Linked DNA regions of Notamacropus eugenii. The protein of the gene in region 3 purifies or fractionates together with the protein of the main gene of each other region. This does not show direct contact. Links are inferred from orthologs where the notes say so. Each region holds a gene or a part of one and is shown on either strand. Other genes may lie near its edges. The genes, in order: PPM1A, SATB1 and TRIM47.

Evidence for each region.
Region 1: the proteins of TRIM47 (region 3) and PPM1A purify together in Homo sapiens (affinity purification with western blotting; 3 studies listed by BioGRID, with this or other methods). This does not show direct contact. The link is inferred for Notamacropus eugenii from reciprocal best matches to the Homo sapiens genes TRIM47 and PPM1A.
Region 2: the proteins of TRIM47 (region 3) and SATB1 purify together in Homo sapiens (affinity purification with mass spectrometry; 4 studies listed by BioGRID and IntAct, with this or other methods). This does not show direct contact. The link is inferred for Notamacropus eugenii from reciprocal best matches to the Homo sapiens genes TRIM47 and SATB1.

Annotation. Positions count from the first base shown.
Region 1 is NC_092872.1:303,349,459-303,353,204, reverse strand, and holds the start of PPM1A (protein phosphatase 1A), read right to left. Parts: upstream 2,855-3,746; 5' UTR 2,719-2,854; intron 2,100-2,718; exon of another isoform or gene 2,027-2,099; intron 1-2,026. UniProt on the Homo sapiens protein: Enzyme with a broad specificity. Negatively regulates TGF-beta signaling through dephosphorylating SMAD2 and SMAD3, resulting in their dissociation from SMAD4, nuclear export of the SMADs and termination of the TGF-beta-mediated signaling.
Region 2 is NC_092874.1:35,639,051-35,642,796, reverse strand, and holds the start of SATB1 (DNA-binding protein SATB1), read right to left. Parts: upstream 2,501-3,746; 5' UTR 2,383-2,500; intron 1-2,382. UniProt on the Homo sapiens protein: Crucial silencing factor contributing to the initiation of X inactivation mediated by Xist RNA that occurs during embryogenesis and in lymphoma.
Region 3 is NC_092873.1:342,072,480-342,076,225, reverse strand, and holds the start of TRIM47 (E3 ubiquitin-protein ligase TRIM47), read left to right. Parts: upstream 1-1,342; 5' UTR 1,343-1,383; coding exon 1,384-2,031; intron 2,032-3,518; coding exon 3,519-3,614; intron 3,615-3,746. UniProt on the Homo sapiens protein: E3 ubiquitin-protein ligase that mediates the ubiquitination and proteasomal degradation of CYLD.

The DNA.
Region 1 (3,746 bases), on a different chromosome or scaffold from region 3:
ACAAAGTAAATGCCAGAGAATTTGGAGTGGAGGCAGTGAGACCACCTGGGTTGAAAAAATAGGTGGGATGGATTGGGAAGGATGTATTCCAGGCAAGAGGACACACTGTGCAAAGGAAAGATGGAAGAAAAGGTGCTGTGTGAGAAATAGTCAGTAGGATATGAACCCTGGGCTGCAGAATGGGTAAAGGGAAATAATAATAAAATTTCTACTATTAATGGGCAGCTAGGTGGACAGAGTGCCAGGCCTGGATTCCAGAAGACTTATCTTCCTGAGTTCAAATCTGGCCTCAGACACTTACTAGCAATGTGACCCTGGACAAGTCAATAACCCTGTTGGTCTCATTTTTTTTCAAATGTAAAATGAGCTGGAGAAGGAAATAGGGCCTAGAGTCATATACAACTGAACAACTAAGAGCAACAACAACATCAACTGTATCAAAGTATGGCACTTACAAATGGTTTTACAAACATCTCATTTTATTCTTACAACTCTAGGAAGTAGGTTCTATTTATTATCCCCATTTTACAGATGAAAAACTGAAGAATTCTGAAATTAAGTGATATGCTCAGAGTCACACAGCTGGGATCAGTCTAAAAGAAATGAACTCAGGTCTTTTTGATTCCAGGTCCAGCACTCATCCACCCATCACTCAGCTACGTGTACTAAAATGGTAGTCTGGAGCCAGATTATTCATGGATCAATATCTCTGAATTTTTTTTAATGATGGGGCTAGTTTCATGGTGAAAAATAAAATACCAATTCAAAGAGCTCAAGCTTCAAATGAATATATTTTTGTGACTTGTTTCATATTTTAAGTATATGATAAATTACAGGAAATTTAGTAAATATGCAAATCTAGTCAAGAGAAGCAAGATCCAGCCAGAACTGGCAGAAAAACCTTTAAAATGTGGTTATAATGCCATTCATATCAACTATCAAGTGTGAACTGCTTGTACAGACTTGTAGTTTCAGCTAATTTTTCTCTAGTTACCTCCATCCTCCTACCAAGAGTTTCTCATAGCAATATCCCTAGATTTCCCAAAGAAAAAAAAATCAGCAGAGGTTCTCTACAGAAATACTTTTGCAGAGAACAAGTCACACACCAGTTTCAGAATACCAAAGAAACACAATGTTGAAAGTTTATATGTTGTATGTATGAAGGATAAGTACTTCAAATAACATTCAATAGAGAGCATAATCCTGAAAATACTTTATATAAAATCCTTCAACAAAGCAATTACGGCAAATCAAAAGAACTTCTGTCTCCCTCAAAATATGTTTAGGCTTATCAACTTTCAACCTCTTTGAGCTTCAGACTATATACACAAAATTACAGTGAAAAATGTTAAATTATAGCTAATCATGTGATTCTAATGCTTTAGAATCCTTTATTGAAAAGTGCTACAATTCTATGACTATTGGTGAAATGCATAAACTGAGGTAATCTTAACAAGATTTACAAATGTGCTCCATATGTATGAGCTAAACAAAAAAAGTTTGATATTAGGATTCTGTAATTAATTCCTCATCATAGAAGGGATGCAGTTTTGTGTTTGAATGCATTCCCTGAAAAAGTGAAACACATGATCTTATGTACGAAGTAAGAAATTGCTGGATGAGTTACACTTTTCTCAAGCATTTAAGAACCTATTCTCGAGATCAGTTTCCTCAATTCCTTAATTAAGGCTGCTGGACTAAATGATTTCTAAACCTTCATTCAGCTTTAAAAATTTCTGAGTTGATAAAGCTCTCTTTACCCACCCCCACGGTTTAAAGGCTAAGAGAAAAATCAATACAATTTATTTTAATAGATTTGGTTTCCGTTTACCTTGCAATAAACGATCGTCAAAATTTAGATACCTCACTAGAAAGACTCAAATTTAAAAGCTAGCCCCTAACTCACCTACTTCCCCCCGAAGTCACCTTTCCATCTCCTAAATGTTCTCTACGGATTCTCCCCAAAACAAATTCCAAGGCAAATATGGTCCAATCAAATAATCACCTGGAGGAAAACCATACATACTTCCTGCCCCCGGTGTAAGAACTGTTCCCACATTTGGATTCTGATCATCATCGCAGTCAAAACCTCTCCCCATCCCCCCCACCCCCATGAGTCGGGGCACAAGAGGACCAAGCCCAAGGTTGCTGGGGGTGGGGTGCGGGTTTAGGACATCAGAGCCATTTCAAAACCCAGTACTTTCCACTCCCTCTCCCTTTAGCGGGGGGGGGAAGTTAAGAAAGCCAGTGGTCCTAACAAGCCCAGGTTTTCCGGCCAAAGACCAGGGAGGTCCGAGAGAAGAGGCCAGGGAGGAGGGAGCGAGAGGGGGAGGGGGGGGAGAGGGAGGGAGGGGCCGGGGAGGGTCGCCTTCCCTTCCTCCTCCTCTGACACAAACACTCCCGGCCCAGCCCCCGCCGCCCGCCCCAGGAGGAAGCGTTAACCCGCGAGCTTCTCCCCGCGGGCGCCTCCCGAGCTCCTCGGTCCGCTCGTCTCCTCCGAGGGGGAGGCCGGGTAAGGGGGTGGGGTTGTTGGGTGTTCCCGGGAGTGCCCGAGCAGCCGCCCCAGCTTGTTTACAGGCCCCGGGCCTGGCCAGGCCGCTGCCTCCTCCTCCTCCTCCTCCCCCCCCTCCCCCCTTCAGGAGGAGCCGCCGTCTCCACCGCGCAGCCCCCGGAGCGGCCTCCCCCTCTCGGGCCCTGCGTCGCCGGCGCGGGGCTTACCGAGAGCGGCAGAAGAAGAAGCGGGTCCCCGGTCCGAGGCGGTGGCGGCGGCCCGGCTAGGGAGGGACAAGGGGAAGGGGGGGAAGGGGAAAGGGGAGGGGGGTCACCGCACGTCGCGGGCCGGGCCGGGCCGGGTCGTCCGGGAGGAGGGAAGGGGAGGGGGGAGGAGGTGGAACGTGTCTGGGACCCCCGGCTCGTGGCGCCCTCGCCGTCGCTCAGATCATCGCAGGCACTGGGACGGAGGCGCGGAGCGGGTCCCGGAGGGGAGCTGACGGCGAGTTCATCGCTGGCGGGCCGCGCCGGCCCCGTGTCGGTCTCTCCGCCCCCCCTCCCCCCACCCCCGCCCCAGCCACCCGGTCCTGCGATCCAGCCGCCGCCGAGTCCCCGAGCTCGGGGCCGAGGAAGCGCCGGGACCCGGTTGTCTCGCTCCCAAGCGCGCTCCCGCTTCTAATGTCGATGCCGCCTCCGCCTCCTCCAGCGCGCACGCTCGCACGCGCGTTCACGCCCCACTCCCTCTTCCTCCTCTCCCTACCCCCCCCCTTCCTTCTTCCCTCCTCCCCTTCCTCTCTCCCCTCCACAGCTGCGGCGCCTTGTAGCAGCTGGAAAGACCCGGATGTTGTTGGGCTGGAACTTCAGCCAGGGTAAGGTGGAGGAGGGGCAGGTTAGGAATGACATAATTCCTCTACCCCATCTTTACTTGGCTGCCTCCTCCCCGTCGCCGGCCTGCTAGGGGCTAGAGTTCGTGTGTGTGTGAGTCTGCGTGTCTGTCTCTGTGTGTGTATAGGAAAGGGGGAATGGAAGCTTCCACCTTGGTTTACACTCCGCCCCCAGCCCTCCCCCACCACCCCACGCCCCATGCACACATCCTGGCTAGTAGCATCGTCTCCTGATCTCGGTGTGGTTGAGAAAGTGCACGTTTTGTTCTGAGCCCTGTAGAATGTGGTCCCAAAATAGCCCTTCAGAAGTCTGGTGGTAGGCAGAGCTTGGTTTCTGATGAAGACTACATGAATTGTAACCGCCCACACTAG
Region 2 (3,746 bases), on a different chromosome or scaffold from region 3:
GTGAAGTAATAAGTGTCAAACTGAAATGAGGAATAAATGTACATTCTGTATTTACAAAAATGTATAGGCATTAAAAAACATTTGCCTATAAGATACATATTTTACCACAGCTATGTCTGTATGTGATGGGCACATTACTGAAAGTTTATTTAATGATGTGCCTAACCAAGTTAATTAAAGTATTTATGTCTAGTGATTGTGTTAAACCCTTGCAGAGGTAGTGAAAGATACAACCAGCTACTTCTGCTAACTAAAGTTGAAATTATGCACTTATTATAACCTTTCCTAACAATGTGAGAAAAACAGAGTAAATATATTAAATTTGTTTCATAACAGATGCTTAGGTTGTTAATATTTAAGATGCCTATTCATGTTATTCCTGTCTGCACATTTGTCAAAAATGTAAGCCTGAATGCTAATGCTTGCCAGCAGATTGAAGCAAACAGTATATGAATGTACTACTGTACTACTCAAATAATATACAGAAGAAAGGACTGTAGCTAAATCATATCACTGGTAATATGGAACAGAAGAAAGAGCTGTTATTAGATCTTATACTTGAACCTTAACATCCTAGAATTTAGAATTACGCATCCTTTGCATAATAAGAATTGCCCTTGATTGGAGAGAATATATCTGACATTTGCTTCGGCCATCTTTTACTTAGTTCAGTTTAAAGGGGCAACGTAATAATTCAGTAAAGTTTTCAGTGGGATAGCTTCCTCTGCAACAGAAGTACTTTAGGTTTCAGGTGCTGCCGAGGATAAAACTTAAACCTTTGGTCATATTTCACCAACTCCTCTCTCTCTCCTCTCTTCTTCCCCATCCCTGCTGGCCTCCAAAGACGTATATATGGAACCCAGGGCAATTGGGGCAGACCATCTCTCTACTCTTACAAGGTCTTCCCAACCCTCCCTTCTGCTCCCCCTTCTCTTATAATCATTTTGGAGTCTCAGTCACAGATCATTTCCCTGGAAACCCCTTTGGAACGCTGCAGAAAGTTAGCCGAGGAAGGTCGCAAGGGTCAAAGTCTCAACCTCCGGCATTTAGTGATGCGACTCTGTGGTTCATACTTGTAAGTTTAACTCTCAATGCCCAGGTTAAGATGGGTCCAGGCCACAGGCAGCTGTGGCTCAGTGGTGAAGGCTCTTCCTTGCCCTCCCCCTTCTCTGGTCAGTCTGACCCTCTCCCCGCCCCCCTGCCCCCTGCTCCTGCGCCCAGAAACCTCAGTCCCCACTCCCCAATCTCCCCGACCTGCTACTGTCCCTGCAGCTCACTCTCTCTCCTCTGCTAAACCCTCAGATTTAGCTGCCCAACATCAGGTCGTGCCGAGGGTCCAAGATGCTCCGCCACTACGTCTCAGGCCATGCTAGAGGGGAAGCCGGTGCCTAAGGTGGTCCTGGTGTCCCGAGGGCAAGGAGAAGGCACGGATGCCCACACTACCGAACCCGTCAGGACCGCGGCCCGACCGGGTGGTAAAAGACCAGGAAGCGAGGCGTGCTGTCCCTCGGATCCCCTCCTCTATCTTCACGCACACCTTCCTTCCCTACCTTCCGTGATCCCTTCCCAGCCCAGCCCAGCCACGGCCACGGTCACGGCCACTGCCGTGCGGCCGCAACTCCTTAGAAACAACTTGCGAGCAACTTCGCGGCTCTGCGGCGGCGGAGGCGGCGGCTTCGGCTCGGGCTCGGGAGATGGAGAAGTTGCCACAAACTTCTCAGGCCAATCCACCGGCGCCGCTCTCCCGGCCGGGCCAGGCTGGGCTGGGCCGGGATGCTCCCGGGCAGTGCCTAGCTGGCACCTCGAATTTCTACCGACACCCCCCACCCCGCACTCCAGTCTTTCTCTCTGGCTCTTCTCCACTTCCACGAGGGGACCTTCCCCCCTCAAATACCTATGTCTACCTCGGGTACCAAGCAGGTGTGTGTGTGTGTGTGTGTGTGTGTGTGTGTGTGTGTGTGTGTGTGTGTGTGTGTGTGTGTGTGTGTGCTCGGGCGCGCGCGCGTGTATGTGTGTGTGTGTGTGTGTGTGTGTGTGTGTGTGTGTGTGTGTGATTGCTGTGGTCGGGAGGACTGACTATCACACTCCATCCCCACACCCCGAGAGGGAATGAATGGCATTCCCCAATCAGTCCTCCTGGCCTCCTTCACCTGCCCTCCGGCCCATGCTGGGGTGGGGGGCTCGGGGCCCGAACCAGGAGGCGCGGGGGGTGAAGAACGCTCCCGGCCCGAGGGCAGGGGAGGGAGGAAGCCCCAAGGGGCCAGCCCGAGCACGGGGGGCGCCCGCCTGGGGGGCTGCGAAGCAGAAGTTTGTAAAGACCTCCTCACACACATACACCGCACACGGCCCAGGGAAGGAGTAAACAAACGAGAGCCAACTCACTCAGGCATGGGAGCTGCGGCGGCCGCGGCGGCTGCGGGAGGGCTGGCGGGCGGCGGGCGGGCGGACGAGTGCGGGGCAGCAGCCCCGGAGGCTTCCCGGGTGTCTCGGCGGAGGCGGTGGCGGCTCCCGCTGCTGCTGCCGCTCCTGCTGCTGCTGCCGCCGCTGCTGCTGCTGCCCCCGTGGCTGCGGCTGCCGCGGAAGTTAATTGCAACTTGACTTCAAGTTGTCTTCTTCCCCCATCAGAAGTGGGCGTTCAAAGGGGAGAGAAAGACAAGAAGCGAGCGAGCGAGCGAGCAAGGGAGAAAGGAGGGGGGGAGGGAGGGAAGAGCAAGGGTAATGTGTGTATGCGTGTGTGTGTATGTGTGTGTGTATGTGTGTGTATGTGTGCGGGGGGGGCAGGGGAGGAGGCAGGGCCTGAGTGGGAGGGGAAGGAGCGGAGGGGGGGACAGGAGAGGAGGAGGGGGCGGGGGCGGGGGCGGGGGGCGCAGGCGGGGACCGGGGCTCGGCTCCGCTCCGCTCGGCTCCGCTCCGCTCGCCTCTTCTCGGCTCGGCTTCGCTCCGCAGTTGCGGCCGCCGGCCGCGCTCCAAGCCGGCCGGGTCCGCGGAGGAGCGGCGGGCAGCCCCAGCTGGAGAGCCCGCCGCGAGCCGGCCCTGGGGGCTGCCGCCGGGCATTCAGTCCCAGGGCTCCTTGGATGCCGGCCGCCCCCCGGGCTGGGGTGAGGAGGCGGGAGCGGGCCGGGCAGCGCGGCCGCCGCCGCCGCCGCTGCCTCTGCCTCCTCCGCCCGCGCCTTGGCCGCCACTGCTCCCCGCCTCGGCCCCCACCTCCGCCGGCTCGGTGCGCGTCTGGGGCGCCGGGGTCTGGATCGCCCGGGGCCGAGGTCTCGGTCCCTCCCTCCTTCGCTCTCTCCTCCTCTCCCTTCCCTCCTTCTCCCCCTGGCGGAGACTCTGCGGCCGCCCGCCCGGGGTCTACGGTGCGGAGCCCTCCAGCCCGCCCGGCCGAGCCTCGGCCGCCACCGCCCGGCTCCGCTCCTCCGTGGCTAGGTTTGCTGGAGGCTGCGAGCCCGGGCTGAGCCGGAGGGGAGGGGAGGGGAGGGGAGTCAAAGGAGGAGGGGGCAGGCGAGCAGGGAGGGGGGAGCCGGAGATGAGGAGAGAGCAGGGAGAGGGTAAAGAGAGGGCGTGGGGGGCAGAGGGCGATCTGCCCGCAGGTTTGAGGCGAAACCTGCACCCTAGGCGTGGAGGGGTAAGTGAGGGAGCGTCTCGGTGTCTGTCTGATCCTCCTCCCAGCGCCCCGACCCCCAGCCCTAGTTCCCTGCTGTGACTTCCTCTTGTTTTTTTGGGGGGGCTGACTCTGTGTGTATGTGTGC
Region 3 (3,746 bases):
GCATGAATAAATCCTTTTCCCCTTAGGTTCAGCTGACATAAGGATGGGATTTTTCAAAGGGGAATTTATAATAATTTTACTGAAAAGCCAAAAGGAAAAAAAAGTCCATAGAATTGGAGTTTGCAGCATCATTACCTGAAGTTTCACTGTAGTAATAAATGACCTCCACTGTATATATATATATACTGGATATTCAATTCCTAGTTCCTTTTCTTGGCATCAATGTCTGGGATGAATTGAATGAAGGTAAAAAGTGGATTTGGGGGCAATTCTTACAGTGGCAATGGATACCCCTCTTGGGATCACAAAAAAAAAAAAATGATCGACAGACTAAGTGAAGCACAGTAAAGGGGACAGTCAGGCAACAACTGTCCAAAGCCAAAGTTACCAGAAAGAGCAGGTGGGGCTGGGGCCCATAGGACCAAAAGACAAGTGCGGGAGAGCAATGCACAGTCACATGCACTGATCCTTCCCTTCCTGGGGTTTTCTCTCACCAAGGGCTGAGGTCATTTCCCTAATTAAGGTCTAAGGAGGCCACTAATTCCCCATAAGTATGAAACTAAAGGGGTAAAGCATAAACTAAGCAATTTTTTTTCTTTTTTTCTCAGTTCATAAGAAAGAAAGGAAGTATTTTATTTGGGGAAGTGGGGAGAGATGTAGGGAAGTCATCAAAATAAGAAATATTAAAGTGTAACAACAGAACCTAAGGAGAACAGGTAAAAGGAGTGGGAATATTGATTGGCAGGGTGGGAGCTACTAGCAAGGATTCATTCCTTACCTATACAGCAGATGGGAAAGAGAGGCAGGTCTAAACAAAGATTCCCCTCCCATGAGCTAAGGGGAAGAACAGAAAGGGGAAGGATGTAAGAAATGTTTGTCTTCACAGTCAGCGATTCAGGTATTTTAATAATAGACTAGAGGAAGTGCCATGATGGAGAAAAAAAATGCTAAACCAAGAGGGTCCTGGACGGGGTAATTTAAGAATATGGAGATACCCTTAGACATATCTGTTAGGACAAGCCCTCTCCACCTTCAATAATCCATAATCGTCCTTTCCTTGAGACCCATCCCATCAGATAAGGAGGGCTATTAGTCCTCCAAAGGGAATGCCAAGTCTGGTACTTCTTGGTTCTACCTGAAACACAGAGCTGAGAAGGTTCAGCTAGGGAAGGTAGGACACCCTTCTGAGGCTAGGCTCAGAGCGATGGGCTAGAGTTCGAAGGCGGGACTGGGGGAAAAGGAGGGGGAGGCCAGTCCGAGAGAGCTGTAGGGGCGGGAGGGGGCTGAACCCTTCGGTCGAAGCCCAACGGGGAGGAGCTGCTGAGCTACCGCGCTCTGCTCATTCCTGGGCTGGAGCAGTGCAGGCGGAGCCCTTGAGAAGAGATGGACGTGAGCGGTCCCTTCAGCTGTCCCATCTGCCTAGAGCCACTACGGGAGCCCGTGACACTGCCCTGCGGTCACAACTTCTGCCTCGCCTGCCTGGAAGCGCTCTGGCCGCACCGCGGGCCCGGGGGACCCGGGGGATCCGGTGTCACTGCCCGCTGTCCACTGTGCCAGGAGCCCTTCCCCGACGGGCTGCAGCTGCGCAAGAATCACACGCTCTGCGAACTGCTGCAACTGCGCCAGTCTGGCCCCAGCCAGACCCCAGCCCCGGCCCCGGCCCCAAATCAAACCCCGACCCCGGAGCCCTCGGCGCCCTGCGCCCCAGAGCCGTGGCCGGAAGGCGAGGAGCCAGTGCGCTGTGACGCGTGCCCTGAGGGTGCGGCCCTTCCTGCGGCTCGATCCTGCCTCTCGTGTCTGGCCTCTTTCTGTACTGCCCACCTGAAGCCCCACGAGCGCAGCCCAGCCTTGCGCGGCCACCGCCTGGTACCTCCCTTGCGCCGGCTCGAGGAAAGCCTGTGTGCCCGGCACCTGCGGCCCCTGGAGCGCTACTGTCGAACTGAGCGAGTTTGCGTGTGCGACGCCTGTGCGGCCCAAGAACATCAAGGCCATGAGCTACTTTCTCTGGAGCAAGAGCGGGCTCTCCAAGAGGTAGAGGTCTAGGAGGCTTAGCTCTGTGGGAGGGAGCAGGCTGAGAGCGCTGAGTGGGGAAAGTGAAGTTCTAGAGGGGAGATTGGCGATTTTTGGCCGGGTGGCACAGGAGAAGCTCCTAACGGAAGCTTGGCAGAACTCTAAGAACTAAATGGGGGGAGCAGGAGATCCAGGAGTAGGAGAGGGCTGAGCTGAACACCTGGATCCCCAGTATAACCTGGTGGGAAGACTGGCAGGGAGGGGGCTTTGGTCTTGCTTCCAGCTTTCTGCTCTCTCCATATCTCTGAGCCACCCCAGCTCCCACAGACTTGGAGCACTGTTAGAACAGCCCAGGCTCCCGATGCCCTTCCTGGCCCAGAACCTGGAGCCTGAGTTGATCAGACTTTCTCCTGCTCCTTAGGGTCAGCAGTCTTGGGGGAATGGGATGTGGCTAGCTGGCAATGCTAGCCACAGATCCTCCGAGTCGAGGTGTCCTTGGGGTTCTTGGCGGGAGCATGTGTACAACCCCGCCCATTCTCTTCTTCCCTCTCTGAGCGCCTCTCTCCAGTCTCCTCTCCTCCCACCCCCTCCAATCCCGACCGTTTCCTTTGGCTTCCGTCCCAGTCTTGGCGCCTCTGGCCTCGGGATTTTCCGTCTCCTCCCTGGAGCGCCCACCACCTCCAGCCTGGAGGGAGTGACTCATTCCCCCCAAGGGTTTTGCATAGAATTCCCTGTTTGTAGAACTGGTTGGGGATACCAACTTCGTATATGGTAAACTTACCCCTCAAGACAACTTGCCAGGTGCTGTCCCCGCCCGTCCTACCCCTCCTCCCTTCAAATAGAGTCTAAGCGAGACTGGGTCTCTTGCCTCATACTTGCCCCCTTACCTACCACGGATTGGTCAGCGGCCAACAGACGGAGGAGGGGAAACGGGCGGATGACAACTGCATGCTTTTTGCTGCTGCGCTGGGCTGATCTTGAATATCAGGGAATTAGCTGGGAAGCCCCTCAGAGGTCATTTAGTCCTCCGGGTAACTAAAATGTTTTTGCCTTGACAACTTTTCTTACCTAGTATGACTTCATAGGAAACAGAAATTCACCATCTTCCTCTAGTCTCACCAATCTAGGGCAGCCTTTTCCTCCTCTGGATAACTCTAATTATTAGAAAGTTGTTTGCATTTTTGAATAATAACCCTAAATCCACCTCCCATCTCTTAGTTTACATTTTGTACTTGAAAAACAAGTCTAATAATTCCTTGTGTTCACATGACATTCCTTCAAATAAAGGAAATATTTGATGACTCTCCAGTTTTCTCTTCTCCAGACTAAACATCCTCTATTTCTTCATCAGGTCCTCATACAGGACGGTTTTCACCCTCCTACTTATTCTCCTCTAGCTGTATAATTACCCCACCCCCAGCTATCTATAGACACCTTCACCCCTGGACCCTGGAAGACCAAGTCTGTGTTAGCTCAATGGGTTCAGAGAAGGATGCTCTCTCCCTCAGGCTGAGAGCCCCGAGGTCCTGAGTGCTGCAGATGACCGCTTGGATGAGCTGGGTGCTAGTATCGCACAGTCTAGACGTACAGTAGCTCTCATAAAGGTAAGATTCCTAAGTCCCTTGAGACATTTGAATTCTGGAGAGGAGGTGGGGCTTGGGATACCATTTCTCCTTAATTTGACATTGACAATATCCAGGGTGGCATTCACCAAGCAAACTAGGCAGATCTCTGTG